Mytilus edulis: one gene and its partners. The protein of the gene in region 4 binds, or shares a complex with, the protein of the main gene of each other region. Links are inferred from orthologs where the notes say so. Each region holds a gene or a part of one and is shown on either strand. Other genes may lie near its edges. The genes, in order: general transcription factor IIH subunit 4-like, DNA-directed RNA polymerase II subunit RPB2, RNA polymerase II subunit A C-terminal domain phosphatase-like and general transcription factor IIF subunit 1-like.

Evidence for each region.
Region 1: general transcription factor IIF subunit 1-like (region 4) and general transcription factor IIH subunit 4-like share a complex: the UniProt entries of both Homo sapiens proteins name them as parts of the TBP-based Pol II pre-initiation complex. The link is inferred for Mytilus edulis from reciprocal best matches to the Homo sapiens genes GTF2F1 and GTF2H4.
Region 2: general transcription factor IIF subunit 1-like (region 4) and DNA-directed RNA polymerase II subunit RPB2 share a complex: the UniProt entries of both Homo sapiens proteins name them as parts of the TBP-based Pol II pre-initiation complex. The link is inferred for Mytilus edulis from reciprocal best matches to the Homo sapiens genes GTF2F1 and POLR2B.
Region 3: the proteins of general transcription factor IIF subunit 1-like (region 4) and RNA polymerase II subunit A C-terminal domain phosphatase-like are in contact, whole or in part, in an NMR structure (PDB 1ONV), measured with the Homo sapiens proteins. The link is inferred for Mytilus edulis from reciprocal best matches to the Homo sapiens genes GTF2F1 and CTDP1. Residues at the interface, in NP_002087.2 of Homo sapiens: Thr470, Lys471, Leu474, Gln478, Ser486, Thr489, Val490, Leu493, Ala494, Leu497, Lys498, Leu500, Asn501, Pro502, Arg504, Met511, Phe513; in NP_004706.3 of Homo sapiens: Ala946, Asp947, Met949, Ala950, Lys951, Ala952, Leu953, Glu954, Glu956, Leu957, Asp959, Leu960, Met961.

The regions. Positions count from the first base shown.
Region 1 is NC_092345.1:75,549,988-75,556,905, reverse strand, and holds the start of general transcription factor IIH subunit 4-like, read right to left. Parts: upstream 3,019-6,918; 5' UTR 2,895-3,018; coding exon 2,779-2,894; intron 1,232-2,778; coding exon 1,127-1,231; intron 313-1,126; coding exon 181-312; intron 1-180. Other genes in the region: valine--tRNA ligase-like, read left to right, coding at 3,228-3,461. UniProt on the Homo sapiens protein: Component of the general transcription and DNA repair factor IIH (TFIIH) core complex, which is involved in general and transcription-coupled nucleotide excision repair (NER) of damaged DNA and, when complexed to CAK, in RNA transcription by RNA polymerase II.
Region 2 is NC_092347.1:65,787,924-65,795,747, forward strand, and holds the start of DNA-directed RNA polymerase II subunit RPB2, read right to left. Parts: upstream 3,016-7,824; 5' UTR 2,858-3,015; coding exon 2,839-2,857; intron 1,969-2,838; coding exon 1,742-1,968; intron 1,393-1,741; coding exon 1,280-1,392; intron 1-1,279. UniProt on the Homo sapiens protein: Catalytic core component of RNA polymerase II (Pol II), a DNA-dependent RNA polymerase which synthesizes mRNA precursors and many functional non-coding RNAs using the four ribonucleoside triphosphates as substrates.
Region 3 is NC_092348.1:7,253,480-7,261,325, reverse strand, and holds the start of RNA polymerase II subunit A C-terminal domain phosphatase-like, read left to right. Parts: upstream 1-4,826; 5' UTR 4,827-4,957; coding exon 4,958-5,163; intron 5,164-7,846. UniProt on the Homo sapiens protein: Processively dephosphorylates 'Ser-2' and 'Ser-5' of the heptad repeats YSPTSPS in the C-terminal domain of the largest RNA polymerase II subunit. This promotes the activity of RNA polymerase II.
Region 4 is NC_092344.1:32,398,428-32,405,525, forward strand, and holds the start of general transcription factor IIF subunit 1-like, read right to left. Parts: upstream 3,004-7,098; 5' UTR 2,883-3,003; coding exon 2,853-2,882; intron 524-2,852; coding exon 474-523; intron 1-473. Other genes in the region: uncharacterized protein, read left to right, coding at 3,193-3,259, 3,933-3,967, 4,318-4,392, 6,468-6,624, 7,045-7,098. UniProt on the Homo sapiens protein: TFIIF is a general transcription initiation factor that binds to RNA polymerase II and helps to recruit it to the initiation complex in collaboration with TFIIB. It promotes transcription elongation.

The DNA of each region.
Region 1 (6,918 bases), on a different chromosome or scaffold from region 4:
AGGCAAATGATAGAAAAATCTTGGGTGAGGTGACAAATAATTAGAACCACACAAATCATTCCAATACAAAAGATGATGTCTCATAAAAATCAGGCATTTTGACTCTTCTTAAACATAAACTTTTGAAATAAATCTGTATTACATTTGCATTAGATAATTGAATATTTCTTTCATGTTTACCCTCCAAGTAAGGCTATTTTCATATTCTTTCTGAAAGTTTGATTCATTTTCCATCCTTGAAGTCCACCAGTCATAGTCTCTTCGTGCCATACTCTGAGGTCAGTTAATGCTGTTACTGCTTGTTTCTGTTCACTGTAATTCAAAACATTAGTGACAAAATTCAGTACTTTTTGAAAGACCAGAATGTATAGACACTGTTATTTTACAATGTCGGATTACTGATAAATGGATGTTCAGTTTTATACTTTTTATTGATTCATTTTGGATAGCTAGTCATTCTAGTGTTGTTGGGTTGCACTTGCAGTCTCATTGATGTTTTTCTAACATTTTGATTAGTTAAAAATTATTTGTGTTTTTTCAATGGGTGATTCATGTACACAATGATGTACAGTAGATACAATTGTACTGTTGATGTGATGTGATGCTCCCAAATTTTGTCTTTGTTACCTTACTTTGTCGCTTCTGAATTGATTTACAAGATGTGACGATTGGTAAACTACTTTTGACTTGATTTTTCAAATTTACATATTCCTTGAACTTGGACTTCTTAAAACTTGATTTTATTGTCTCTATGTAAACTCAATTTGTAATAGTAAAATCTACATTTAAGGAAGGCCAAGCATAAAATACTATACAATTATCTCCTAATTTACAGGCTTCTGACTTTGGACAGCCACATACAGAATGTGGAGTGTACTTTCATATCAGGGCCTTTTATAGCTGACTATGCGGTATGGGCCTTGCTCATTGTTGAAGGCCATACGGTGACCTATAGTTGTTAATGTCTGTGTCATTTTGGTCTCTTGTGGACAGTTGTCTCATTGGCAATCATACCACATCTTTTTTTTTATATTTACCATGCTTACAGCATGCATGCACGGTTCACATATATCGACAACTTTATTAGGCTTTAAAAGTGTTCAGTCTTACAGAATTATACACTTACTCTTGGTATTTGCTGTTAACCCACAGATTTACCACTGATTGTGATACATGTTGTTCAATAAATAACATCCGCATAACATAGTGCTTGGATAAATCTGGTAATTGTCTGAAATTGAAATAAACTAAACTATACACTATGGCGGAGGCATAGAATCGAAAATGCCTGTCAGTGTCAGCCAGCAAGGTTTATTTTTAAATCTAGAATTGCTACTTCTCTTTCAAGACAATTTGGCTACGCAAATAGTTTGGCCATAGGCTGATCCGGCCATAGTACCTGTTAAGATTTAAATGTTGTTCCAAGAAATTGTTAGGTTAATTCATTTGTTATTAATAAATTTAATTATTTAATGTCTATAATACTTGTAGATACTATTTTTGAGTACTTGATGAGCATACACTGAATGTAATGTTGTGCTCAAATAAATTGTAAATTTTCAAGTTTATGTTTTATGATGTTAAGCTTTTGATGTACATGCTCATATTACTTAACAAATAATCATGATAATCGTTTTGTCATAAAGTGTGGTCTGAAAGTAGACTATTCCAAATGATTATGACATATTGAAAGGCTATTTTATTTTTTGTGCCTAAATACTGAGCAGTATAAAGGCGTTAAAATCAAGAAAAAATAAATACCCTTTCAAGATGTCATAATTCAAGACATGATATATCCCGCTATGGTGGTAAGTCTTTCGCCTACATGTATTGACCTTTTTTTTTTCTTTTTTCGGTAGGCTAATAGCTTTGATATTTTTTGATCTTTCAACATATTCACTTGGTCAACATAATGAACATTGTCATGATAGTGTGCACGTTTATTTGAAAAACAAAACTGTAGAAAAAATGATAATTTTGATGATTCTGTAATATATGAATTCTGTTCTTGTAAAATTCGGTCATGAATTCGTTGTTTTATTTTACAATTTGCTTGGCCTGTTTTGTCTACCACTAACATGACTAAGATTGATGACGCTGAATGGAATTACACAAAGCAATGGAGGCTTGAAGTGGGATATTGTGAAGTTCTGAAATGTTTTTAGGAATTTGAAAGTCAGGTTTGAAACGGTCATTAGAGAATTGGCATTTTTGTACAATACTTTGGAATAACAGTGAAAACATATCTTTAGAAATGTATTCTTTATTTACAAGAGTAGAAAAAACGTATTGTGCACTAATTTTGAACGCTGGTATTAGCATAGTGACATCAATGTGGTTACCGTGTGATGAGTACAAACACAAATACCGAACGAACCAAATTATAAGATGACAGGTTTTAGACTACCGATAGGATAGTTAGTGGACAAGAGACTTTTGTATGACATGCATTAGAAAAAGACATTTTAAATAATGTTTCAATTTAACTGTTGGTGCATTACAAAGTATGACCGAACTGTCAGTATGGCCGAAATACACCTTATCGCTAATCCCGGCTGACCCGCCCGCTTGAACTTTTGACGCATACAACAATCACTTTTCCATTGTGGTGTCAGATATTTTGTTTTATGACGTCAAAATATTACGGGAACCTGTGTGATATCCAGCAATGGCGGACAAATAGCGATAAGGTGTATAACAGACCGAAACGACTGTGGCCGAACTGGCAGTCAGGCCAAAAGTCAAAACGTCTTGAATCGGTTACTTCGATGGACATACCTAAATACAGCCAAGCAAGTCGCAGGATGTGAATATAGTTTGTCTAAAACATGCCATGGTAAAGTTTTTAAGTAACCATGCAAATTTTTACAGTCCAATTTTCTTGTAGTTGCCATGCTTGCAAATTTTTTTTTATGATTTTTTCTTCTTCATTAATGTCAATAAATATCTTATTTTTTCTCCAGAAAATCGTCTTTTTTTAAACGCACAAATGACAATGAAAAAAATAGGACTAAATGTACCTTTCTACACAGGAGAACTCATTTCACGTTATTGCTTCGTTATCGAATTATAATGCGTAAAGTCATAGAACATTGGTTAATTCATTTGAAAATCAATAATTTCATTCAGTCAAATATTTTTCGACCCATATTGATACAGAAAGAATTGAGAAAAATAAACAAAAACATGGAGAGCTCTTTAGTGTGGAGGTACAAAATTGATTAAAGATGTCAGCCTCCTGGTGCAAATTGAAAACAAATTATTTAAAGTTCGGAATTAAGCTTTTTAAGCTACCTTGCCACCGAAATAATTTGATTTTTAATTCAGACATACGCCTTAGAGCATTATGCTCAATTTGTAACCAGAATCATATTCAATATTTTAAAACTGTAGATAGTCGAGAAAGTTTACTCCTTTTGAGGCAATCATCATCTTCTGTCAAACGGGATGTTCCCAAAAAGGTAACTCTCCTGTTCACAATTTTTTAAGCAGTTAAGCTGCTTTATGCGAGCACCCTAGATTTATGTTCTACCCAATAAATGCTGAAATATGTGCCGCTTTTATTTTCTGGCTGGCTATCATGTTATTTATAACTAATTGGGCATTTTTCCATACTTTTTATTTTAGAATATAAAAAATATTACCATAAAAACGTTAAATGGTCGTCGATTTTCCCAAAAGTTTTGAAGTTGCACATAGGAAGTAGTGCTCGATAGAAATCCTTCTATAGTTTATTACCCCCTGTGCTGTGGGCTAAGATGTCAAAGAACAATTATATGAAATATTTGATCGCTGAAAATCTATATAGATGAGTCTTTTACATTTCCCAGATGGCAAAAGTCGTAGGAATATTGTTTGTCATCGATACGTATCACATACGTCAGTAGTCTATATATAAGCTGATATAAGTTGGCGGCAATTTCAAATTACATAGAAGACGAAATTTACGTACCTTTTAAATTGGGAGAATTCTGATGATACATCGGTACTTTTATTATTAATCATTTTATTCGTTTTTTTGTCTGATTGAGATTATTTAAATCATCTTTATTCAGTAATCTGTAATGAATGCTCATTTGTTTTCTTTTTAATATTATTCCGATTTCTAGCAAATCACCTTCATGCTTGTCAAATTAAGTTGTTGTTATTGTAGTTTTCTGATTGGTTGATGTCAAGGTCATTTTAAGATTGTTTCGCTTTGGTGTTACACAATGTAACATAATTCTACACGTGCTTTGCTTAAGCTCGATGTGGTTCAATAAATATTGTGATGTAAACTTTAACAACTGTTTTCTAAAGGACGGCATTATTTAACTTCAAAGTCGCATATTTTGTAAAATATTAAGTCTGAATCTGTGACGCGTATCACACTGTAATTGTTTTGATTTACAAGGACTTCTCGATTTCCGGTACAGAAAAATACGACTTTTTTATATGTTTCTTTTTATAATTTTTCACATTTAAACACTCGTTAAGTGTTATTGAATCAATTCTATGCGGTTCCTTCAGCAACTTTATGCTGGTAAACGATTTCCCCCTGAAAATAATAAGAAAAGAAATCGCATGATAGGATAAAAAGGTAACGAGTCGATTAACGAGACTCGAGAAACGTTTAATATGTTTTCAACAAGTTATAGTTACAAACAAGTTTTTCTTAATTCTTACTATTACAGTTATTGAAAGTTTAAATAAATGTTTTTTTATTATGATATTAGTAATGGAAGACAGTTAAACCGTAATCAACATATTTTAATTCAGTTATAATTTGAGACGTAAAAAAAATCGAAAGTGAAAATGGGGAATGTGTAATAGAGACAATAACCAGATCTTAGAGCAGACAATAGTCGAAGGTTACCAATGGATCTTTAATGCAGGTAGAAACTCCTACACCCAAAGGATTGTTTTTGCTGGCCCCTTAACACAATAACCATGATAACAAAAATGTAAACTATTTCAACTAGTCACTTGTTCAGGTGGAACTTTATAAAATTTTAAACCAGAGGAAGAACAAAGTAACTACAATGTAGTTAATAAGTTCTGGAGAACTTTTCGGCTAGTTAGTTCTTTCCGCCTGGAACTTTCCAACGTCGGAACAAAAGAGCATTTACAATAACTTGGACATCATACTAAAATCAGAAGTTATACACAAGAAATTAATAAAATTTTTAAAAATGTACAAAACAATTATGAAAAATAAATATGATATACAGCAACAATCACCGCATTAGTGGGTCCTCACTATGGACAGGTACATACAGAATGTGGCGGCTTAAACATCTTAACTGGCACAAAACTCTCCCCTAAGATAGGACAGTGTATGTGTATAATCTCAGACATTGAATCTTTATGAATATAAATTGGAAATTACTTTTGAAAGTGGTAGGATTGCATAACATAAACATTACTGTACAAGCATTATTTGATACTTTAGAAATAGCTGAGAACAATGCCTGAGATAAATATTTCGACTAATTCTTTACACTATTCATCTGAACTTGGCCAAGTTTGCCTTTGGGTTTTTGATTAACTGCCTATAGCACCCTTTGGTGCTTTGATTATTTAACATTTCCTAAGACAGACACTTTTATCTGATACATGTAATGAGGCATGTGTCATACCTTTGAAAGAATGTGAAATCTGTTTTAGTATAATATGAGGCAGGCATTACCTGTCATGCCTGTAAATGGGGACAAAGTCTGTCATGTCTGTATGCATTTTTTTTTAATTCAAACATGTTAATAAAAGGAAAGGAAATACTGTTACATATCCGATTTTGGTTCTGTTGTAAGGGATTTAGGTGTGACGTTAATCAAGTTATGACATCATATTCAATGTAAACAAAGAAACGCTTTCATCAGGTAACGTTTTTTTCATATTAAAATGAATTGGTATTGAGTTCCAATCCTATATTTTAATATACTGATATTAAATATATATTTTATTCAAAGTCTCATGCATACAAGACTGGAAAAAGGAAATAGATTTCTGCGCAAATGCATGGATTTAAAAAAAGTCATTAGTTTATTGAAAAATTCAGTAAAATTTTCCTGATTTTAAAAAAAAAAAAATTTTAATTGATTTTTCTTCCGTAATAGGGGACTCCATCCCCAAATGAATGATTTTTGTTGAGCATGTTGAGCCTGTGACTTCTGCAGCAAATAGCTTGACATAGGTACAAAATGTATAATGATCCTGCTGCAGCTTTAGCTATCTTCTTAAAAAATGTATGTCGAAGAAGGTGGAAGACCTCATCTGGATACTTCCTACTTTGATTCGAATGTATATAGATTTAGATGCCTTAATTAGTTTATGAAGTTCCAGTCGATTCGAATGTATATAGATGCCTTAATTAGGTTATGAAGTTTCTGTTTGTCTTATGTCCATCATCCTTAACCTCATTTTCATGGTTCATTGACTTCTTGAAAAAAAATAAGTTAAGATTTTTTGTAATGTTAATTTCTTTCTTATCATTTCTCCTCTGTATGAAAATATTTTAAGATGTACACATTAGTCTGGCAGGTTTAATTTTACCTTGACCTCATGAATGGCTCATTTTCACAGTTCAATGCTCAGTGTTAAGTTTTGGTGTATTGGTCTGTTTTTCTCAAACTATAACCAATAGGTCAACTTTATTTGTAGTATGGAAATATTGTAAGCTGTGGTGTGTATGTCTGTCTGGCAAGCATCATTTGACCTTGACCTAATTTTCATGGTTTATTGATCAATCTAAAGTTTTCCTGGTTACATGTTAGATTTTTTCTTAGATACAACTATAATTAAAGCAAAGATTGATTGTAAAGTGAAAATTTCTGTCTGGCATGGTTCATCTGACATTGACCTTATTATTATGGGTAATTGGTCAATGTTACAAGTTGTCATGGTTAAGTCTGTTTCTTAGAAACTAAAAAAGAGGCTATT
Region 2 (7,824 bases), on a different chromosome or scaffold from region 4:
ATGTATATGCAACTGATATCATGACCTCTTAAATAGTAAACATTTTAAAAAAAAAACCAGTAGAGTGGACAGAATACTTCGGAATCATTACTCCATATAATAATTGCAGTGATATTGTTGTCTATTTTCAAAACTACCTCTACCGTTTTTTATTGGGAAAAATGCATATTTTTTATTGAAATTGGGAAATATTATTCTAAACACATCTCCGATTATTGGCTGACCTTTGCTGTCTTTTTTGCACTGTTTTTTCATGTATATTTTGGTTGTCAGACATTTTCAACCCGGAAGGTTCTTTTCGGAGAGGGGAAAGAAACAGAAGCAATGATGGTACTTAATGCATTGAAAACCACATGTGTTACAAACACCATGATGATTCTGATCAGAAAACCGGATCTCAAAAGTGCTTTATAATATCAAAATAATAACATGAATACGATATTTACAAACATTACTACCAATGCCATCAGTTTTGGGAAAATGTAGACCTTTTTGGGAGGAATTTTAAGCCATTTTTTTTAGTAATTGGGAATTTTCTCTAGGGGAAAAGGCCGAATTTCGGCTGTTATTTGAGGCAAACAATATCACTGAATTGGGAACTATATTCCAAGAACAGGAACAAAGGGAATTAATTGTGGTCTGAAGACTTCTGTATACTATGAACATACCGTCATACGTATATTAATAATAAAGTGTATTTGCTTTCAACTATTAGTTCCAAGTTTCCTTTCCAAGGCAATCACTGCTATAATTACATGTATATAGAGTCTCTATATATTATAGTAGTTTAATCATATATAGTATACATGTAGATAAACGCAAAATTATTGACCTCTCTCCGAGTACTATGAAAATCATCTGCAAGTTTAAATCCAGAAGTCTTATCTATGACTAAAAGTCGGTCTGACGACGGTAACAATATCCAAACGCCTTTTTTTCGTTTCTCTCTCAAAAGAATTCAATTTGATTAAGCATAAGAATGGATGACAAATGCGACTATGCTTGGTACTTATAGGACACAGAGGCATGATGATTGATTTATTGTGGAAGGAAGAGAAGACACACAAAATGAGGTCTTCTCGTTTAATAGTATAGTTGTGTCAACTTTAAAAAGATTCAAATTTATAATGTCACAATCCCTGAAGGTTTATTTATTCCTATGAATTCAATAACCAGGACAACTGAAAATTTTTTGGGGTTAACCAACGTAAAAGACTTATTATTGCGCATATAGTTACATGTACATGTAGCATTTTTCCATATAATTTTTATAACTTACGTAAGATTCCTTAGTCGTGCCTCATTTGGCATCATAGGACTAGGAGCACCATCTTTTTCCCAATGAGTTGGTTTAGACAGATAAATCTGTTCAAATTTCAACAAGTATCTAGGCTGCAAAATATAATTTATGTTTATTATGGGTTCTACTATCATGACTATAGATTCACTATATAATGTGTCCCTGTAAAGTGTTTGCTTATAACAATGTTTAAACGCAAAAACATATGTAACAAGAAAAATTGCACAAGAAAACAATGTTATGATGTTTACACACTTTTCGAACATATTCATTTTCACTGCTTATCTGTTGATGCAGGTCACAGATTATAAAAGATTTATGACAGATGTACATTGTATATTTTTAAAGTAGTTGAACTTCTACTCTTTACAACCGAAAATATATTAATCTTTTAATGTGACCAAATTAGCTATACTAAGTGTCTTGTCTGTATTGACTTACTGGAGTTTCTACACCACCAGATTTATGTTGTGCCTCAGCCTGTAAATCTATCTGTGGTGAATCTTCTACGATTCTCTGTACTGACATCTGAATAAACTCATCAAAGGAATCTAACTGCTGTCTCACCAAACCTTTTTCGTCGAAGTAGGAACTGATGACAATCCAGCAGGCTTCCTGCCATAAATCAGGGGTAATTTCATCACTGTCCTCCTCTGCCTCATGCATATCTACAAAATACATGTTTTGTTTATAAGTATTTGAATAGGAATAGGGTGTGGAAAAGCAGATAAAACGTAAAGTAATCTAGGTCCGGGTCCGACTCAGGGCGAACATGTAATTAGGGTGAACAGACCTGATACCAACGTATAGGGGGCAAACAGACCCAATGCCCAGGAAATCTCCCTCTTACCCAAGCCCTATCCCCTCCAGTGCAGGAATGAAATTAAGTGATCGTTAAAATACATGTTGTGTGCACATTGACATTGGTTATCTCCATTGACCATTGTAGGCAGTTACTTTTTATTTTATTCAAGTATTACGAAATCCCGACGTTTTTTATTTTTGGATTGTTTGATTTTTCCTCGTCAAGTATTGTTTTGGTTGTTTATGTTGTCAGTTGAGACAAGGATTTGTATAGTATAGTTTACTTTACAAATCCTTGGTTGAGAGGATGCCATTGGCTATTTTTTTCTGTTCTATGGACTGTCAGTATCAGAACCTATTCTCTAGACTTAGCAATGGATAGTCTTTCACCAGCTTGTCAATATCTGTAAAGTTATTTTTCATACTGATATGTAAATACCTTTGTTGTCATTTAGTACATCAGTTTTATCAAAATTTCTTCAGAGCCACTCACTCGAATAATTTCTTCATTTATTCCCCAAAACTGTAAACATGGCCCAATGTTTTCCCCATTACTGTAAAACCATTTTTAATTAAATCTTCTGGTGATCTCTTTATCATACTTAGATATATATAATCATAATAACTGATTTACAGTTTAGAGGACTTTAGAGAGATTGAAAAAAAAAATGCAATGTTATTGTTTGAAAAAGGTATAAGTACTCCAGGGGCGATGTGTGTATATCAGTTCTAACCTTCTTCTGGTAAATACATGTTGGTTTCGTATAATTTACAACCCTTTCTTTATATTCAGTTAGTTTTCGTATCAGATGACTGTGGATTTCACAACTAACTGACGCGTTTGAAATGCGCCATTTAAATGCCGGCAATTTGAGTTATTTATACATATAAACATCTGTTCGATACTTCTCGGGTTTTTAAAAAAAAAATATGATGATGACCGCAAAAATAAAAGGGACATTATATACCACTACGACCCTAAATGTTTTTATTCATCGACATTATTAGTGCGGTGACAGAAGTGTAAAAAGTCGTCTAGATCGCGAGTTTAATCTCCCCAAATAACACACGGCTAAAAATGGTCTTAACTTAAAGACAAATATGTCTTCTTTAGTTTTCGCCCTTTCGTCAGAATTTCGTACGGTCACTTTTTTCTAAAAAGTCGTTTTAATGACTGGTAGTATATTGGAGAGTTTCAACCCCCCTGTTTCAAAATGAAAAAAATGTGTATGTTTTCTTACATTTAATTGAAATAGTTTTTCCTGAAGCTATTTTTATATGTCATAATATTCCATTCAGTATTTTATTTTCTTCTAATCTATAAAATTTGCGAAGTTTAGACTATTTGAAATTGAGGTAATTTTAATTGCAAATTCAGACTCAAACTTTAGTTTCCTCTTCATAGTAGTAATAAAAATTATCCCATAATATTTTAAGCATATAATATTTAATAAAACTAATTAGTGATAAAAATTTCGGAAACAAAATATGAAAAAACCTTAAGAAATCAATGAAAAAAGAATGAAGTAAATATCTTCAATTTCAACACGGAACTCAATCAGTTGCCTTCCGTCACATTTTGTGTATTAGTCAATAATTTGCTCTCAAATGATATATGAAATTACTACCTTTTTCGCTATTATATACACATATTTTCAATTACAGTGCACTGATATATGCCACATACTTTGTTTGTATATGTTTATATTCTATGTTTTTTCGTTATAAAACATCAAATATACTTTGTCAGAAAAGTCTTATTGTAAAATTAAAATAATTGACGGATAGTTTCAGTAAATACTCCGTGATATGTCAAGTCCTTTGCAACTTGCTCCATTAAGTTCAAAGAAAAGACAAAAGTCGTTGCATTTTATGCAGTGCATAATATGCCAAATAAAAAAACCTCGATTGAAATTTTGAGTCAATTTACCAGTTTAGGGAAGTCGATTTTTGTATCTGCATTGCATAAAAGATTGGATGAGGTGATCATGAACATCAAGCTGTTTCATACAATAGCTGTTAATTTGAAAAACTCCGTGCAGGCAGTTATTCATCGTTCATGCTACAAAACTTACACAAGTAAACATATTTGTTCCCCCTTTTAGAGCGAGGAAGATTCTTGTCTAATATTTAATGACGACATACAATTATCTGACTGTTGTCCCTCAGTTTCGGGCAGATATTTCATTCCGCTGCAAGTTTACTTAGAAAAGACATCGAAACTCTAAAGAAGACTACCCAATTTCGGATGAATTTTCTCTTCGTTTTTAATTCAGCCAATGCCTTCGTATTTATTGCAATTCATTCTATGGTTACTCAATGAAAATGCATACAGCCAAGACTATTCTCATGATATGGCACCGGAGAAATTGTGGAAATGCTTAAGCAATTGTTGAGGCAATCGTTTTTGTTTTACTCCTTTTCATTTAGGATTGGCTTTACAAATGTACCATGAGTTTGGTTCAAAACATCTTGTTGAAACATTTAATGCCAATGGATTTTATGCTTCTTAAAGTAAAGTGCGACGCTATCTAATGTGTTGCCAACCATGAAATTGAGCGAATTCAAGATAGTGCGTACGTCTTGTATAATGTTTCCCCAGCATCTTTGCAGACAAGCATATGGATGTCATCACACCTTCCTAAACCTCCTTTTAGATCTCTTTTAAAATCTTGGATGAATTGATAGGGATGGTTTGAAGCTGGTATTTTTTTTAGGAACAAATGTGTTCGGACTTTCTACAATACCTTGTCTGTACTTGAAAAGAAAAACTCAAAATAAAGTGTTTGCTTTGAGCAGAACCTTTCATGTGCAGACCTGTGGCCATAAGTGAAATGTGTAGAAATATTAAAACATGTCTTGTGACGGTTGGTGAAAATGAAGATGATGGAGATAACGGTTGGTTTGGTATAAAGCTTGTTGCACTGGTACACACGATTCCAGTCCGAGGTTAGGGGAGTGTTGACGTGCCCTTAAAAAAGTTAAACCCCGCCAATATCTGTATGTGTCTGTTTCAAGTCACGAGACGGTAATGCAGTGTTTCTATATTCTATATTTGTTTTTTTCTTATTTATTTTGTACATTAATCAGGTCGTTAGAGTATTTGTTTGTTTTACATTATTCATTTCGGGAATTGAAGACTATGCAGTATGAATTTTACTCATTGTTGAAGCCCGTACGGGACCTATCATTGTTTTATGTCTCATTTGGTCTCATTTGGAGAGTTGTCTCATTTGCAATCATATCACATCTTCTTTTTTTTTATATGGAATACTTTTGAAGTTTGGGGTACGTTGCAAGGGATAAAAGGGGGGACATAGTTACAAAACCTATAATGTAATAGATATTAACCAGAGTTAAATACACAACAAAAGATAATACTATGGTAGCAGTAATAATTGTGAAAAAAAAAACCCAAAAGCAACGAGTAGTCTATAAAAAAACTGAAGTATCCGCAAATTCAATTTGAGGTCATATTTGACTGTAGTGTTCTATGGCTTTGTTTTGATGACTCACCCACTATGATAGTTTAAAAAATAATTTTAAAGTATTGTCCTGCATGACACTTGATTTTTACCTGAAATTGATATTTTTCATAAGGTTAAGGTGCTTTAAACATTTTATAGGTTGAAAACTTGATTTTTGAAGTTTTGTTTATAAAACGTGGTTTTAGGATCTTTTTTGATAAAAAAAATCTCAATGATTAAGGTTTATGTATAAAAACAAACATTACTTAAGCCAAAACAGTATCATTTATATATAGGTAGAGTTTAGAAATAGAAAAAAATGTCAAAATTGAAACCCTCCCAAACTTTCACAGATTTTTACATATGACCTTTGACCTCAATTTTAAAAAAATGTGACCACATCAAGTCCTGACGACAGGCATATTATTATAGTACACGATTTCTTCTTTCCAATGATATATTATGTAGATGTGTGTTCGGTGGGGAGATTAAATTCCAAAAAATCTGCCTTCAGTCACCGCACTATATGGCACATATTCATCAATAAGAGACACAAGCAGCCTAAATCCGCAAAATCTTGTCTCAAACGCTAATGACAGGCATTTCATGTCTCCGTTTTCTTTCTTTTTACTTTTTATATTACATATATAAATTCTTTCGATTGTTAAGCAGTCCTGACGCAGTTTTCTTTATTTTTTCTTCAAGTTTTATAAATTTTTCTTTATGCTGTGACTGGAATTTTTTTTTAAAAGAGGGGTGAAAGATACCAGAGGGACAGTCAAACTCATAGATCGAAAATAAATTGAAAACGTCATGGCTAAAAATATAAAAGACAAACAAACAAATAATAGTACACATGACACAACATAGAAAACTAAAAATTAAGCTACACGAACCCCACCAAAAACTGGGGGTGATCTCAGGTGCTCTGGAACGGTAAGTAGATCCTGCTCCACATGTCACGGGCACCTGCCGTGTTGCTCATGTTATACCAAACCCGGCAAATAGTCTTATTCAGTAGGTCATATTCATGAAAAGCGAAGGGGATTGTAGTTTTAACGTAAGGGACATATATATATATATATATATATATGATATCATCTGTGAAACGGGCAAATTATTCCATGACGGTCGACCAACTCATGATGGCGTCCGTAAAATTTACGAAGGAATGATTTCAACTTGACCTTTTTGAACTTATGGTTTAATAGCTTATTTGTGAGCAGCAACTCTGTGAAGAATATCATGATAGGAAATACAAGCACGGGAATATCGTATCAATTGGGAGATCAATTGGGAGATATATACTACTTAAGTAACTAGTAAACGTCAAACTGCAAAGCTGTTGTTTATTTATTAGAGTTAGATAGTAAGAAATAAAATATGTTGTCAATCAAGAAATCAGGCATCTTGATAATGTCAGTTTCAGAGAATTTTTAACGTTTTAAACGATATGATTTTGATTCTTTTATGTTGACAGTTCACATTTTATAGTACTTTTCAAACGTGAATATTAAATTTCATTCTTTACAAAGAATCTGCAAAAATAAAAAAAATCACTATGATATTGCTGGTGGCGGTAAAATAGCCATTTCTATAGAAAAAATGCTATTTTGCAGGCTTGAAATCGAATATTTTAATCAAAGCTGGCAAAATAGTCACTGCCTTTTGATCACTTAAATGCATGTTATGTTTAAAACTTGTTTTATAAATGTATTCTTGTTCTTATTTCACGGTATCCTACATTACAATGACAGTAGTTTGCTGCACCACTATCCTTAATGTTCCAATGGGAATAGTATATATAATGTTCCAGTAGTTTTCCGCAGCATCAGCATTATGTTTAAGAGGGTAAGAATATGTTTATCATCGGTGCTAGTTAAAGCCTGTCCAGGGACAGTCTATACTAGTATAGAAAGTCCCTGGACTGTCTTAAACATACAGTGAGGTGAGAGGATTTGTTTTGCTCCGTGTTGTATGTCTCACTGTGACTGTAAGACAAAGAACAGCAATGAAAGATGTTTTCCTTTGCTTTTTCTGGGCTTTATTGCTACAATATGAGTTAGACGTATTCATTGTCTTATGGAAAATACAAAAAAAAAGCGAAGAAAAAGACAAATCCACAGATACACAGAATACTACACATCTGAACAGTAGTGAGAGAAAATATGTAAAAGGTGTGTTAGTGATATTTTATAAATATGAGGTAAAATATTGAAAACATTTCAATGACCGAGACCTGAAACAGCTTAA
Region 3 (7,846 bases), on a different chromosome or scaffold from region 4:
ACAATACTCGTAATTCACCTTGAACTCGTTAGTATTTTGACAGAAAATCAATAATCAGCTGATTGCATATTATAGCAATCCACAACAAAGGACTAACTAATAAAGGTGTTGATTGTATTGTTTAACAAAATGATATGGTTAAATGGTGTCCTTCATATGTCACACAAAGAATTTATTAACCACTTTGGGGCGCACGTGTTCGAATCAAATTTTTGACGTCGCCTCTCTTTTTATTGATAGTCCAGAAAAGAAAAACTGTTGTTATGACGAAAGATGTCCAAAAGCAAGAAAAATCTCTGATTAAAAACGTTTTTCTTTGTGTTTGATATAGATGAGGGATCAGTTTCAAGTGATAAAAGCTTTTGTTTTGTTGTAAAAAACACGTCTTAGTACAAAAGGGCACATATTTTTCTTTTGAAGAAACTTTCCCAAAGAACTGTACATCTTTTTTATATTATATTGTCAAAACATGTCCAAGAATTTTGTTATATTCCAGGACTTATATCTTCTTTATTATCTAAAGTAAGTGGCCCCCTCTTTTAGAAAATTTGTTCAAAATGTAATGAATGTTCCCCATTTTAAGTTATAAAAAAGTTCTTCGTTTTAAAAGTAAATGTTTAAGGTTTATTCATTACAATGTAGACTCTTAGATAAATTTGAAAAAATATTCATAGGCAACAATGAGGCAACATCATCTAATTTAGGGTGGAAGGGGTAAAAAAAGGAAAATTTTAAAAGAAAAATATATTTATGTTACTTGGCGAAAAAAAATATTAAAGTGGCGAAAAATATATTGTTTTGGCTAACAATGGCTAAAGAGGTGGAGAAAAAAATAATAGATCCGAGGGAAACCCTGCTTAAGGGTTCCAGGGAACCCAGTGTGTCACCTTCTTTTGCTGAAATCGAAGGCTGAAACAATTCAGTTATTTGAACACAAGTTTTTTAAGCTTAAGTAATTGCAGGAATTTATCACTATTTTGTGCATTTTTCCTTTGATCTTTTTAGATGATAATTTTGCATATCTGATAATCATGCTACTCGCTTGAGATGGACAATTATCGCTAGAAACTAAGGAGGCATGTGGAGTTGCTAATGAAATTGACAACATCGTCATAGGTTATATAGCGATAAACAGATTATCATTGGTCATCTCAACTCAATTGCTTTTCTCGTTTTGCCGTACCAGCTCAAAGGAGAAAACAATCTTGTTCAGATGATAAAAGATAATCTACAGTATAATTATCTAACATCATTGATCAATCAACAGTTTCTATATTTCATGATATATTAGGCATGAGGATGGAATATTACAGATCAGCTGAATTATCTATTGTGGAGAATCTTACAAATTAATGTACATGTAGGCTGCAGTCACAGAAATAAGTATTATAAGAACATCTAAACCAGTGACAACTCTACAACAGATTTATCCATCGGATCACCAGAAAACAAATTCTGTATATATAATTTGTCTAAATAACAGCCCAACAATGTTAGATCTTTAAATTTTTTGGAGGCAATTTTTTGTTCTTCCCTGGATTGGATTCAAACTCATGCTACCAAGACATTGAGGCACTAAATCGCCTTGCACAATGTCTGGCACGCTAGACTATGCAACCACCTAGGCTAGGAAAAAAATCAAGCTTCCTGTGGCCAGTTGTTACTTTCCTCATCAGTTTTTATCTAGAGTCAGTCTTCACGCTGAACCACAGGCCCAGCAACCCAGGCTTGTAAAATTGCTTCCTGGCCTGTAAAGATCATATGATATACAAAACACCAGTATCTAACCAAAATGTTCCAAAATTTGAGCTCTGGGGCCTGTAGATTTAAAAGTTTATTGTGAAACTGTATATTTTCGTAACACAATATGAATTGTATTATATATGTTTATAAATTTTATTACAATATATGAGGTGGATAGTAAAAAAATGTGCCGTTGACGTAACAAATATTTAAACATTTAGTTTACAGATGATAAATGCTATATAAAACAATTATGTTGATTGGTATTTTTCATGACTATAATTCGCATAATTTAGCCATAATTGACAGAGACATACACTGCAGAGAAGCAGCAAATGCCAATTTTAAAGTCTTATTTGAGATCTAGAGCTTAACCAATTAAAAAAAAAAGCAGCTTATTCAAATTTTTTTTCATCATGTTTTTTAATTCCCACATTTGTGCAGAACGCAGAAATATACTTCCTTCTTCCGGTCTTGTTGTCAGGAGACTTTGAGTAGTCTAGCCAGGGCTCACACTACTTCAGAATTATAGGGAGAAGTGACTTCTCTTTTTAAAACTGATAGGGAGAAGTGGTGAGATTTTAAAGAGAAGTGCTCATTCGCGTGGTGCGCTACAATGTCTGGATTTTATTATAGTATAAAAGGCAGGGCTCACGCTACCAGGCGACTTGGGCGAAGAAGTCGCCTTTCCGACCGTCACATCGCTTTCCCCAACCCCCAAAAGCGAAAACAAGTCTCCCTGTTCTTGACGATACTCGCTTTCAGTCGCTTTTGTCATCGGACATTTTCAATTTTTACCAAGTTGATGAAACATCAATTTTTTATTGATAATTAAAGAAATTCAGACACAAACGATTCATTATCTTTAGAAAAGAGGTTGAAGCATTGTCTTTGCAGTATGTAGCAGGTTATTTGATAAAAATACAACTTTTTATCACTTCGTGCATTTCCGCAAGTTCCGGTGCCTGTTACTCGAAAACGTTCATCAACCTAAATTTCGGTAGCAAAATAAGTTTGTTACTTCATTTAAACGTGATAAAGTTTGCCTCCAGTAAATGTTAATCCATTTATTGCATTAAAAACGTCATATTCCTTTCCAAATAACTTGTCAAACATCGTTTATTTTTGTAAATTTTCTTTCATTCGTCCGCCATTGACCGATTTCTAAACTACAAATCTCAACCGGACCAGCTATGACCGAAATCCGTACTTTTACAATAATTACTACGGACACACGGATGGAACAGCTGACAGAAGAATATTGATCCCAAAGGGGGAAATTACGCATTCCACATGCATTAAGAGACTTTTGGTTACATCTAATTGATTGGTGTATATAAATCAGAGATGCAACTAATCATCGGACCCGTCGGACCTAAGGGGCAGAATTTATGCAGGTCCGGCAAAACTCGTAGCTGTGCAGGACCTGATGGCCGGCAATATTTAAGTCCGCTTGGGTCCGCCAAAACTGAAATCCCCGTCGGCCCCGGCAGAGTATTTTGTTTATAAAATTGCGATCATCTTTAATAAAAGTAAATGTCCTGTTCCCCCGCATTTTCTAACTCCGGGAACCAGTATTTCCGCCCAGTAATAGTCTTTCGTACCTTGTCCATCTCGTCCCGAACAATTCTCCGTATTTCCGTCATGTTTTTTGTTTTAGAAATTCGCTCTCTAGGAAGGAGGTCTATTAAGCATAGTTGATAAGTTCAGGAAATATGTCATGGCCGATAAAATTTGTAAGTGGGTCGAAACCCGGTAAAAGACCAAACCAGTCACCTATTCAAGTTGATAAAGCTTAACGTTTGTTCAATAGCATAATTTCATTTGATTTTTGAGTGAAAATATGGGTCTGGCAGAAATTTGATGGGTCTGGCAAAACTTGGTAGCCTTTAGGCCCCATTGTCTGACAGGAAAAAAAAACTGTTTTCATCTCTGATAAATCCCTATATTTTTTATGGATTTTTTTAAACTATTGATTAAAGTTGCTTAACTCTGAGATTATTATATACTAATATCAATATATTAAGCCCAGCTTAATAATTTTTATATTTTTTATGAGAAACACTGAATTTCATACACAAGATTCTGGCTTCAGACCCCATGCCAAAAAAAATTTGACCTTGCTACGCTCAGCAAATATATTTGGCCTCACTATTAAAAGAGGCTAGTTATGGCCCTGAAATCTTTGCCTATGATATGAATTAACGTTACCTGATGCATTGGGTTTCTTTATTTTTAATACATTGTCATTGAAGAGGGGGGATAGGACCTTTATCGGGACTCCGGGATCGGGTGTTTTTAAGCTCGGGATTTCGGGATTGACCCTTTCGGGATCCGGGAATAGTTTTTTTCGGATTTCGGGACATCGGGATTTACTTTATTTAAATTCGGGACCTCGGGAATTCGTTTTTTTAAGTCTGGGATTTCGGGATCAGGACCCCTCTTATCCCCCCTCATTGAACATGACGTCATAACTTAAATAACGCTATAAGTAAAATCCCTAACAACAGACTCAAAATCGGAAACCTTATGTTATTTCCGTTTCTTTTGTTTAACAAATATTTCAGTTACAAAAAAAATAATTCATACAGACTTCGTCCCCATTCACAGGTATTGCCTGCCTCTTATCATAATAACACCATTTTTAAAATTTGTTATGAAGTACAAATATATTTATGCCATCATAGACATAATCACATATTCTGTGCATGCAACAGTTCCTCATATCGAACCATATGAAGCTGATGGTGTGTATCTGAGGAATATACAGGAGACTCTGTTCAGTATGACCCAAAGTATTTAATTTCGTATCAAAACAACTCCCCCTTTTAAAAAAAAAAATGAACAAAAAGTATATTTTCTGTCTTAGGGCTTTTGGTTACAGTCCTGGCTCTGTTTGTTTTACATGTTTTAAATGAACTTAGTGTGTGTTAGAAATCAATTTTGATTACGTTAAAAACTCATACAAGATCTATCAATAAATTCTGTTGACATTCCTTCGGTCGGTCGTTCGAAAAAAGCGCCATGGGCAGAATAAGTGTCAGTAACTTCTGATTGGTTAAATTTACGTTATACCCTACTTAAATATCCTCTTGGTATCTAAAATGATACATTTTGTTTTCAAAATGAAATTTTATTTAAATCTTTCCTATATTTGTTGAATACACTCTATCTTTTTTAAGTTTTGCACTTAAATTTGCTGCGAGGTGTCAATATGGAAGCGGCCATGAAGTCAGTTCGCGCTCCAAATAAAAATATTCGAATCACAAAATGGAAAGTAAAACCAGGACACAAAGTCAATCAAGGAGCCATACTGTGCATTTATGAAACTGATGATGCAAAAGGTCTGAAGATAAAAGCCAATGAAGTTGGCACTATCTGTGAAATTATGGGTCAGGAAGGTGACAGAAAACCGCCAGGGTAAACAAATACTGAAATAGTGAAAAATACGGAAGCAAGACAAATCGCCCCACTTATGAAAAAATCGTCTAAACACTTGTTAACCAACTACCACTGATGAATAAGAATTGAATCCATTTAAATCTACTGCCAACTCGCCCCACTTTAGTCCAAATAATGATGTCTTTTTTTATGACGTCTTGCAAGGCTATTTTTTAAAAAATCTGTGACGCCTTCCAACGCCTAATAACATGTTCGCCCTAGGTCTGTTTGCTCTGAGTTTGTTCGCCCATAGAGTCCGTTTGTCCTACTAATATGAGGCAGGCATTACCTGTTAATGGGGACGAAGTCTGTATTAATTTTTTTCCTATTCAAACATGTTGATAAAAGAAACGGAAATATCGTAACGTTTCCGATTTTGGTTCTATTGTTAGGGATTTTAGTTGTGACGTTATTTAGATTATGACTTCATATGCAATGTAAACAAAGAAACGCTATCATCAGGTAACATTTTTTCATATCAAGGAATTATTAAAAATGAAATTGGTATTGCGCGTTCCTTCCTATTTTATACTAGACTGATAAATATATATTTTACTCAAAGTTTCATACAAACGAGACCGGAAAAAGAAAGTACATTGTACATTTCTGCGCATGTCCGGGATTTCAAAAATCTCAAAATATGACATAAAAAAAATTGAACGATTTTGAGTTCATTAGTACAATGAAAAATTCGGGATATTTTCCCAAATTTTTTTTTTTATTGAATTTTCTACTGTTATTGGGGACTTCGTCCCCATATTAAAATATTAATATTCAGGGCATTGAAGTTGAATAAACTTGTTCAGATATTTCTATGGTATGCATGTATATATCATGTATATTCTTGAAATTTATGGAAACCTTGAAGTATTTAAAAGTTTATACCTTCTTTAGGATCATTAATTGTTCAATGACAAAAAAATTCAAATCACTGATTATTGTGATACTTGTCTTTTGATGGATTATTAATAAAAAATCGTTTCGCTTTAATAAAATATTCAGCTTGAAATTAATAAAAACAATGATGTACGAATTGTTAATTATGAAACGGATTTACAATTAAGTTCATTTATTTATACTCTAATAGATATAGGAAGATGTGATGTGAGTGCCAATGAGACAACTCTCCATCCAAATAACAATTTAAAAAAGTAAACCATTATAAGTCAATGTACATGTACAGCCTTCAACACGGAGCCTTGGCTCACACCGAACAACAAGCTATAAAGGGCCCCAAACTAAGCATACTTTCGTGATTGACTAAATACAATTATTTTGTTAACAAATATCAATAAAGATAAATACATTGTATTCCACTATTGTACTCTGCAAATCAAAGGGAAAATGATAAATTGATCGCAGTAATATAAATATTCTGTCAATTTTTCAACAATCTTTTACATATTTTGTTCAAATACTATAAATAATGCGACTAGACAACAATTAGAAAGGAAAAAAAATCAGGGCGAATGGACCCTTGGCAAACGGGTATCAGGGCGAATGGACCCTAGGCGAACAGGTACTAGGGCGAACATGAGTCAGGGTGAACAGACCCGGATTCTAAAATTTTGGCATCATAATACAAAATATCTGACGCAAATGTAAAAGTGATTGTTGTATGACATCAATATTTCTACTGGGACAGATTCTGAGGTCAACTGGGATTAGCGAAAGGTTTACATGTGTTTAATTTACTCCTGTCAACTCCCCCACCTATCAAAAATTGTTCAATTTACTCCTGTCATTGCTTCACTCTTGTTTACCAACCCACTTATAAATTGATAAAATCTAATGATTACAGTTGAGTATCACTCAGGAGTACAGAGTAATGAATAAAAATAAAAGTCATTTTCCTGTTAGAATCTTGTTGCTTTCTTAAGCTAAAAATTTTTTTATAGAGTACCTCACAGGAAGTTGAATATTAATCAATTTTTGTGTTTATTTGTCATTTAAAGTTCATCCGAACAGAGGAAGGCTATGAACGAATATACAGAAACTATTACAAAGTGCCCTACTGGAAAATCGCCCACACCTATAAATTGCCCAACTTTTTCACCATCTTTGGTCATCAGGTGCAAAAAGCGTAAATTTTGACAATTTTTCTACCTTTATCTTGACCCTGAAGACCAAGGAATGCTTGTGTTAATTCGACCTGTTGATACTGTTTATAATGCTTTTTTGTCATTTTTTATTTATACGGATCTTGTCTGTACACCAGCTTTGATTATTTGTAATATCTTCACTTATTCTTACAACATTTGTATAAACTTCAAGATTATAAAAAAAACGGTTTTTTTCTAAAGTGTACATTGATTGGTTAAATATTTCTCAGTCATGTCCTGTTTTTGAATTTGTTTGTTAGCTTTTTGGTCATGAATGTTTGTCTCTAATATTTAATTAACTGTGCATTTGTATTCAGATATCGCAGATCAAATTTATTCGTTCATTGTTTAATCATACGTTTTTTGATTGAGTTAAGTCTGCCAATTGATATTTTATCGTATGTTTTTCTTTGTTGTGATGTTATGCTATTGTTTCAGAAAAAGGGAGAAGGTTTGGATCCATTAAAACGTTTAATCCCGCTGCAAATGTTTGCACCTGTCCTAAGTCAGGAATCTGATGTACAGTAGTTGTCGTTTGTTTATGTAATATATAAGTGTTT
Region 4 (7,098 bases):
AAGGTTGATCATTTCAATATATTTCACTGGAGGTCACTAAATCTAACCAATATATACATGATATATATATAAGAAGCAATTTGCTAGTGAAATCCAACAAGATTGAAAATGGAAATGGAGGGAATTTGTCAAGGCAACAACAACCCCGACAAAGAACAGAAAATGCATATGATTTTTAATATTTGGTTTGATCAGAACAGGTTACTTTAACAATCCTGTTCATGCTGTTGCATCAAATGGACTAGATGATTTTTGTCCAATGCATTTTATATACTAAGATAGAAATATAACTGGATTGAATTAATTTTTGAATCTACAATATACCAATTTTCTTGGATGGAGAAAAGATTATTTGAGCACTTAACTTTGTGGTTCATCAATCCCAACAAAATCCATAAAAATTGGTACTCCATGAGTTATATTGTCCCAAGTTAGTAACAAAATTTTTGGTTCCTCTAGCATAAACAACTTACTTGAGAACTCTTACACTGTGTTCTTGTGTGGCACTGCCAGAAGCTGCAGCCTATAAAAGTAACAAAAGTATCATGAGATTACAGAAGTATAATTGATTCATATAATCTGTATATATGTGTGTGAGTAAACTTTAAAATACAATGCTTGCTGAATGAACATTTTTTCTTTTGGGAAAAACACTAGTCACTAGTCAGAAGATTATATATTCTGATGTCTACATCTACATCTACATGGGTAATACGTAAACAGTCAGTTGACTCATCATACACATAATTAAGTTAAAATTAAAGTTGTGTCATCAAAAAGTGCTCTTTTAAAATCATATGTTCAGCATGTTCAGGTGTTTAACATATATATACATGTGCCAGTGCAGATAAAAACATGTGTGTGCTGATTTACAGATCTGTGTGATATGAGTTTGGTCTTGACTAATAGGCTAGGTGGTAGTTCATTACAGTTTGTGATGGTTCTTACGAAGAACCTATGCTTTCTTTTTTTCAGAACATGATCCTAATCTGACAAATTCTCTTTGATGGAGCAGAGGTGTCATTCTTGCTGGTGTCATCAAGCATTCTGGAATTGGGATTGCAATAAATTGGTGGATTATTTTGTGAAAAGGGAGTAAACATGATGTTTATCGTCCCTTATGTAGTTGTGGTAGTTTTATAAGGTCCTCTAATATATGGGTCTCGAGTATACTCATGCTGATGAATCTGGCTGCTCTCCTTTGCCTTTGGATCATTTCTAGTTGCATTGACATACATCTTATGGCTAATCCTGCTTGAACTGTTGACGTCATTACAGCAAACACATTTCCATTGATCTGTCAGATATTTTCTATTGTGACGTCAAAACTTTACGGGAACTATTGCGATGTCCAGTAACACAGTAGATCCAACATGCCTATTGTGCTAGGGTAGGCCAGAAACAATAGATTATTTTCTTATGGAATGTCCAGTTCTGCATGAAATCTGTGCACCTTATCTGCATAATATGTAGTATTGATGTGTGCATGAAATGTACCCATAGTACGTCACCCTAGACACTAACTTTATATTGGATCCAAGTAGCTTTATCTGTGACTGTGGTTGCAAGTGTAAATGTACTGATGCTTGCTACACTATAAAATACATAATGAGGAAGCTTTGCTTTGCTCTACACAGACTACAAACTTGTATGATCAAAAAAGCGTAAGGGTCTTTAACAGTAACCAACACTCATCCCACAAGGCATACCTCATATGTCTTTTTATGTTTATAACCATTTCTATTTGTCATTGTGCAAATTAAAGTACTCCTTCGAAGATAGGATTTTCTATACCAGAGAATGGCGGACAAATAGTGATAAGATGTATTGTTGTATGTGTTTTTGGAGATGTGGGTCCCAGACATTGCTAGCATATTCTAGTGTTGGTCATATATATCTAACGCTTTATATTACATGTAGGACGAAGTCCCCTATTACGGTAGAAAAATCAATAAAAAAAAGAAGAAAAAAAAAAAAATTCGAGAAAATTTCCCGAATTTTTTAGTATATACTACATTTACTAATGAACTCAAAATCGTTAAATTTTTTTCAGACTTTTTTAAATCCCCGCATTTGCGCAGAAATTTATTTCCTTTTTCCAGTCTTGTATGCATGAGACTTTGACTAAAATATATATTTATCAGTAAAGTAAAATAAAGGATTGGAACTCAAATACCAATAGGGCTCTTCACGGTTAGTTCGGCCATATTGGATAGGGGGCAGATTTTTTAGAAGGAGGTGGAAATGGTATGAAAGTGTGGGAAATCCTATGTGTGTTTCCAAGCAACAGCTCTGTTTTAATGATGTTTTCCCGTATTTTTCACACCATTTTTACCTCTATTATGAAAATCTGCCCCCTATCCAATATGGCCGAACTAACCGTGAAGAGCCCTATTCATTTTTAATAATCGTTTTATCATTTTATATGAAAAAAACGTTACCTGATGAAAGCGTTTCTTTTGTTTACATTGAATATGACGTCATAACTTAAATAACGTCACACTTAAATCCCTAACAACTGAACCAAAATCGAAAACATTACGGTATTTCCGTTTCTTTTATCAACATATTTGAATTAAAATAATAATTCATAGACTTCGTCCCCATTTACAGGTAATGCCTGCCTCATATTATTCGTTTGACATTTACCAAGATTCAGTCGTATAAAGCCTAAAGTTGTATTTGCCTTTGTACTTGTACTGATATTTTCCGATGTCATGGATGTGGTAATCTGGTAATTTCATGATAAAGTCAAGGATTTGTATACTATACAAATCCTCGATAAAGTGTTTGATAGCTGATGTGAGGACTTGTATTGTATCATCTTATATAATGTGTCAAATTAATCTTACCACCTGTGGCTGACTGATTGGCGTTGCCATCAAAATGTGGTTTTAGTTATATAGGCTATTTTCTAACTCGTAAAATAAAAAAATAAAAAAATTATAAGTTTTCGGTAAAATTTTCAACGCCGTTTTTATAGTAATGTTTTCGGATTTATATTATTCTCAAATGGACAGTTCGTGAAGAGTTATTTCAAAGGAAAAGAGAAAAGGCTGATAAAGGATCACTTTTATCTATTAAAAGAAGTAAACAGCTATCAAGACACTTCAGTTGCAATGACTTTTTAAAATACGAAAACAATTAAAGCAAGAAAATTATCATTGACCAAAAAGAGAAAATAACACAAGAATGGCCAGAAATGAGGAGAAACAACTTGGGAGGTTAAATAGGTTATTGTTGAAGCAACAAAAAGATGGTACTGACTTTAATATCAACTTAAGTTGCAGTCAAATAACAATTTTTAACAAGTTATATAAAAAGGGCCAGGCATAGTAAAATATAAAATTGTTCTATATTTATATCAGAGACATATATGTGTATATATGTCTCTGATTATATTTCTTATAGTTATATACACCTGAAGATCTGTGAAAGCAGTGAAAGTACTTGTAAAAGTAATGAATTGTTTTATATTATACTTATGTATACAAGTCACATTACTTGCAGATCTGTGAAAGCTGTGAAAGTACTAGTAAAAGTGATGAATTTAAACTGTTATTATCTTTTATTAATTTTCTATTATCATGATTATATAACATATTAAAATTCTTCTGGTTATTCCAGGCACTTTCTGTACTAAGTATAGAAAGTCCATGGTTATTCATTACTGAGTGACACATTTTAGATATTCTTCTTTTTGTTTAAAGAAACTATATATACAGTTCTGCCAACTTTTCATGAAGCAAATGCGTGAGATTTAATGACCAAAATTGAAAAGATCAAAGAGAAAAAACAATAGTTCAAAGGAAAATGCAGCCAAAAAAGCATGAACATGCGTGAGACTTGGCAGCCCTGTATTATATGTTTAAAATGTCTGCACCACCTTGCCATTTGGGTCTTTGATTCATTTGATTTAATTTATATTTCAGAACAGCAGAAGAAAAATCCCAAAAGACCTAGATTGGTATGTTGTTAGGTTTTTTTTTGTTATATTCATTGTGTTTAACAAATTAAATCAACACTTGATAAATTCTGTGTCTTTGAAGCTATTTTTAGAATTTATGTTCATGAATCAGGAATGTTCAAACAAACATTTGAAAGCCAGGAATGAGTGAATACTTACGGTCAACTGTGCCTTAGGGAGATGGATTCTTGTTCTTAATTTATGAAAATGAAATTTTAATTAAGTATGTTCAACATGATGTATTATGTTTCCAGGTGAATAAGGGAATTATATACCTATTCCTGCTTCTTTTTCCTTTAAAAGAGAATCTGTATTTATCAATAAAGGAAATCTACTTCTTATTATAACAGGATGAAATCAATACAGCTGAAGACATCAGATACTGGATACCAAGTATTAAAGATGATATTGACTTTTGTTTGAAGGTAGTTTCTTTTACTTTGTCACAGTTTCAATTTTGTTTCTATGTGTAGTTTTCAAATTTTATTTTATATCAGTGAGTCAGCAGTGCCGCAGCACCCCAATAACACTCAAAATAAATGTGTTCAAAATATATCCAGTCTTTAACAATAGATATGTGTCTATACAATATATGTATTAGTTAAAGTCCCAGGAAAAAAAGAAAATTTGTAAAGGAAACAAAAGTAGCTATAAAAACTAGCTTTCAACACTAAGTTGCCAAACAAACAAAAACGTTTCATAAAATAAAGCAACATCTTACTTGAGATAACCACATGAACATTTATTTTACGTGTAATTATGATATTGATATGAAAAAAACTGTATACCGGTACATAAGAAATTGTTCACTTAGTTAGTAAGTAAATAGATTTTAACATGCAAGAACTTGTACATTTTTGTGTAGTATGTGTATATTAAAGAAGTGGTTCATAGGTTCTTGAATTTATACTGATATTACCACAGGTTAACCCTGTATGCCAAAATTGTATCCCTCCCTGTAAAATATTTAGCATATTTATCTGAATATTTTACAAAAAGTGATATGGAGGGGTAAAATATCAACAGTAAATGTCAACCAGTAGTAAAATCAGTTTAAATTCAAGTCCTTATGCATTATTTCTATTATTATAGGAGCAATACAGCAATTCTTTTGGATGGAAGTGCTCTAGATGATGGCAAATATTTGCTGTTCCCTTAATTTAACCCTTTCAACGCTACACAAAAAAATAGAAAAATGGCTGCTGCTGCTGCATTTTTTTTGTGTTCATTCATTAGAACAGTATATTCCTTTTCAGACTGCTGTATCTTTTTTATTATAAGAGATACAGAAAAAGTTATTGCATGAAAAATGCACAGGAGAGTATGAACTGTAATGTTAGGCAGTTATTTCAGTAAAATTTTTATCAGGTTATCTGCATTTTCAGGTAATTAACAGGTAAAAGGTGTAATTTGTTACATTTGTGTTGAATTTTGAATAAAAACTACTTTTCGTCTTCATCTATTTTGTTTTTTTATCTGCCATATAATAAAGAAGACACCAATTGCTCGATTCCGTAGCGTATTGCACCATACACAACGTATTATGTAATCATGGCACAAATCAGTGGCTCCGTCCTCAAAATTTTCAGTCAACCTCCGTTTTCCCCCCTTTTTCTACGTCTCGTAATGATCGATCAAATCATATTTCCCACACGAATTGAATGTAATAAACACATTGAGATAACAAGAAACCTTTTAACTAATCCTCGTCATCAGTTTCGCCATAGAAATGCTGAAATATTTCCATATTTACAGCTTCGTTTCCGATTTCCGCCATTTGCATTTGTCAAAATATTTGTTTTTATTTTCCTTCAATTTTCCTTCTACTGCATGATTTTACAATAAAAATTGTCGGGATTTCAAGCGCAAATGAGACCTTGCATATCCTCGATTCATACAAGGAAAAATTAGAGAGAACCCGAATGAAAACCGAATGGTTTAAGAGTCCTTATGAAAAATCCGTTGTCATCGCGGCATATGCCGCGAATAGCAGTGGCGAACGGCGTATGTCATCGCGGCATATGCCGTGTATAGCGTTGAAAGGGTTAAAAACAACTATCAATATTGATGAAAGAGAAAAAGAAAACAAACTGATTTAATAACATACTAAAGTGATTTATAATAACATACTTAACTTAGAAAAGTTTCATGGGTTTTTAATGAAGTTAAATATTTTCCTTCTTTCATTTAAAAAAATGGCTTTCAACTTATTTTTTCATAGTTTGTTTATATTACTGTGTTTTGACGACTTTCAGTTTCACATTCCTGCATTATAAAAATATTACCTTTTAACTACATCTTCCTTTGATATAACAATTACAAATTTAAATGAAGGAGAGAGAGAGAGAAACTTTAGGATGTGTTATTTTTCTGAGTATTATTTTTTGGATTAATTAAGAATTGTTAAATTAGTCAATAAAATGACTTTCCAATTTTTTACTCAGATGTATTTAAATTTAAAAGAAATGGAAAATATACATTGATTATTTCATTATTTCAGCAATCACAAGTACCATGTTACCCTGAAGCAAAAATTAAAGAATTTAATCTGAAAATTGATCACTTACAAAGACAATACAAAGCATTTGTATGGAAGTTGAGGAAGCTTGATCCCAAAGTAAAGCAAATTCCATGGGTAGAGAGAGGCTATACAACAGGTTGTATGTTAAACCTATGTTATTTTTAACCTGATTTTTGTTATTCCATTTTCATCCAGTGGCATTGATGAAAACTATATTTCAAAACACAAACAAATTCTCAGAGTCTTAGGCATTCTATTATTAAAATCACACACCAAGACAATGTGATTTCTTACGAGTATCCATAACAAAGTAATGTATACTCAATGAATAGCTTAATTTTATTTTTATACAAAAATTGCATTTTGCATAGTCTTTAGGATTCTGAAAATATTGTTATCTTACTAATTTATATAGTTTGTTTCATGCACTTTTATTGTTCTTGAGTTATGTCCCTTTAAATGCAGAAACATCATCTGTGTCCCATGACATATTCCCAATTGTTTTTAATTTGATCACCAATATTTTCTTGTCTGTAACATTCTTCTGTTATTTTAGGACAGAAGAGGAAATTGAATTCGGATGAATCTGTGACTGTTCAAATGGCAATAT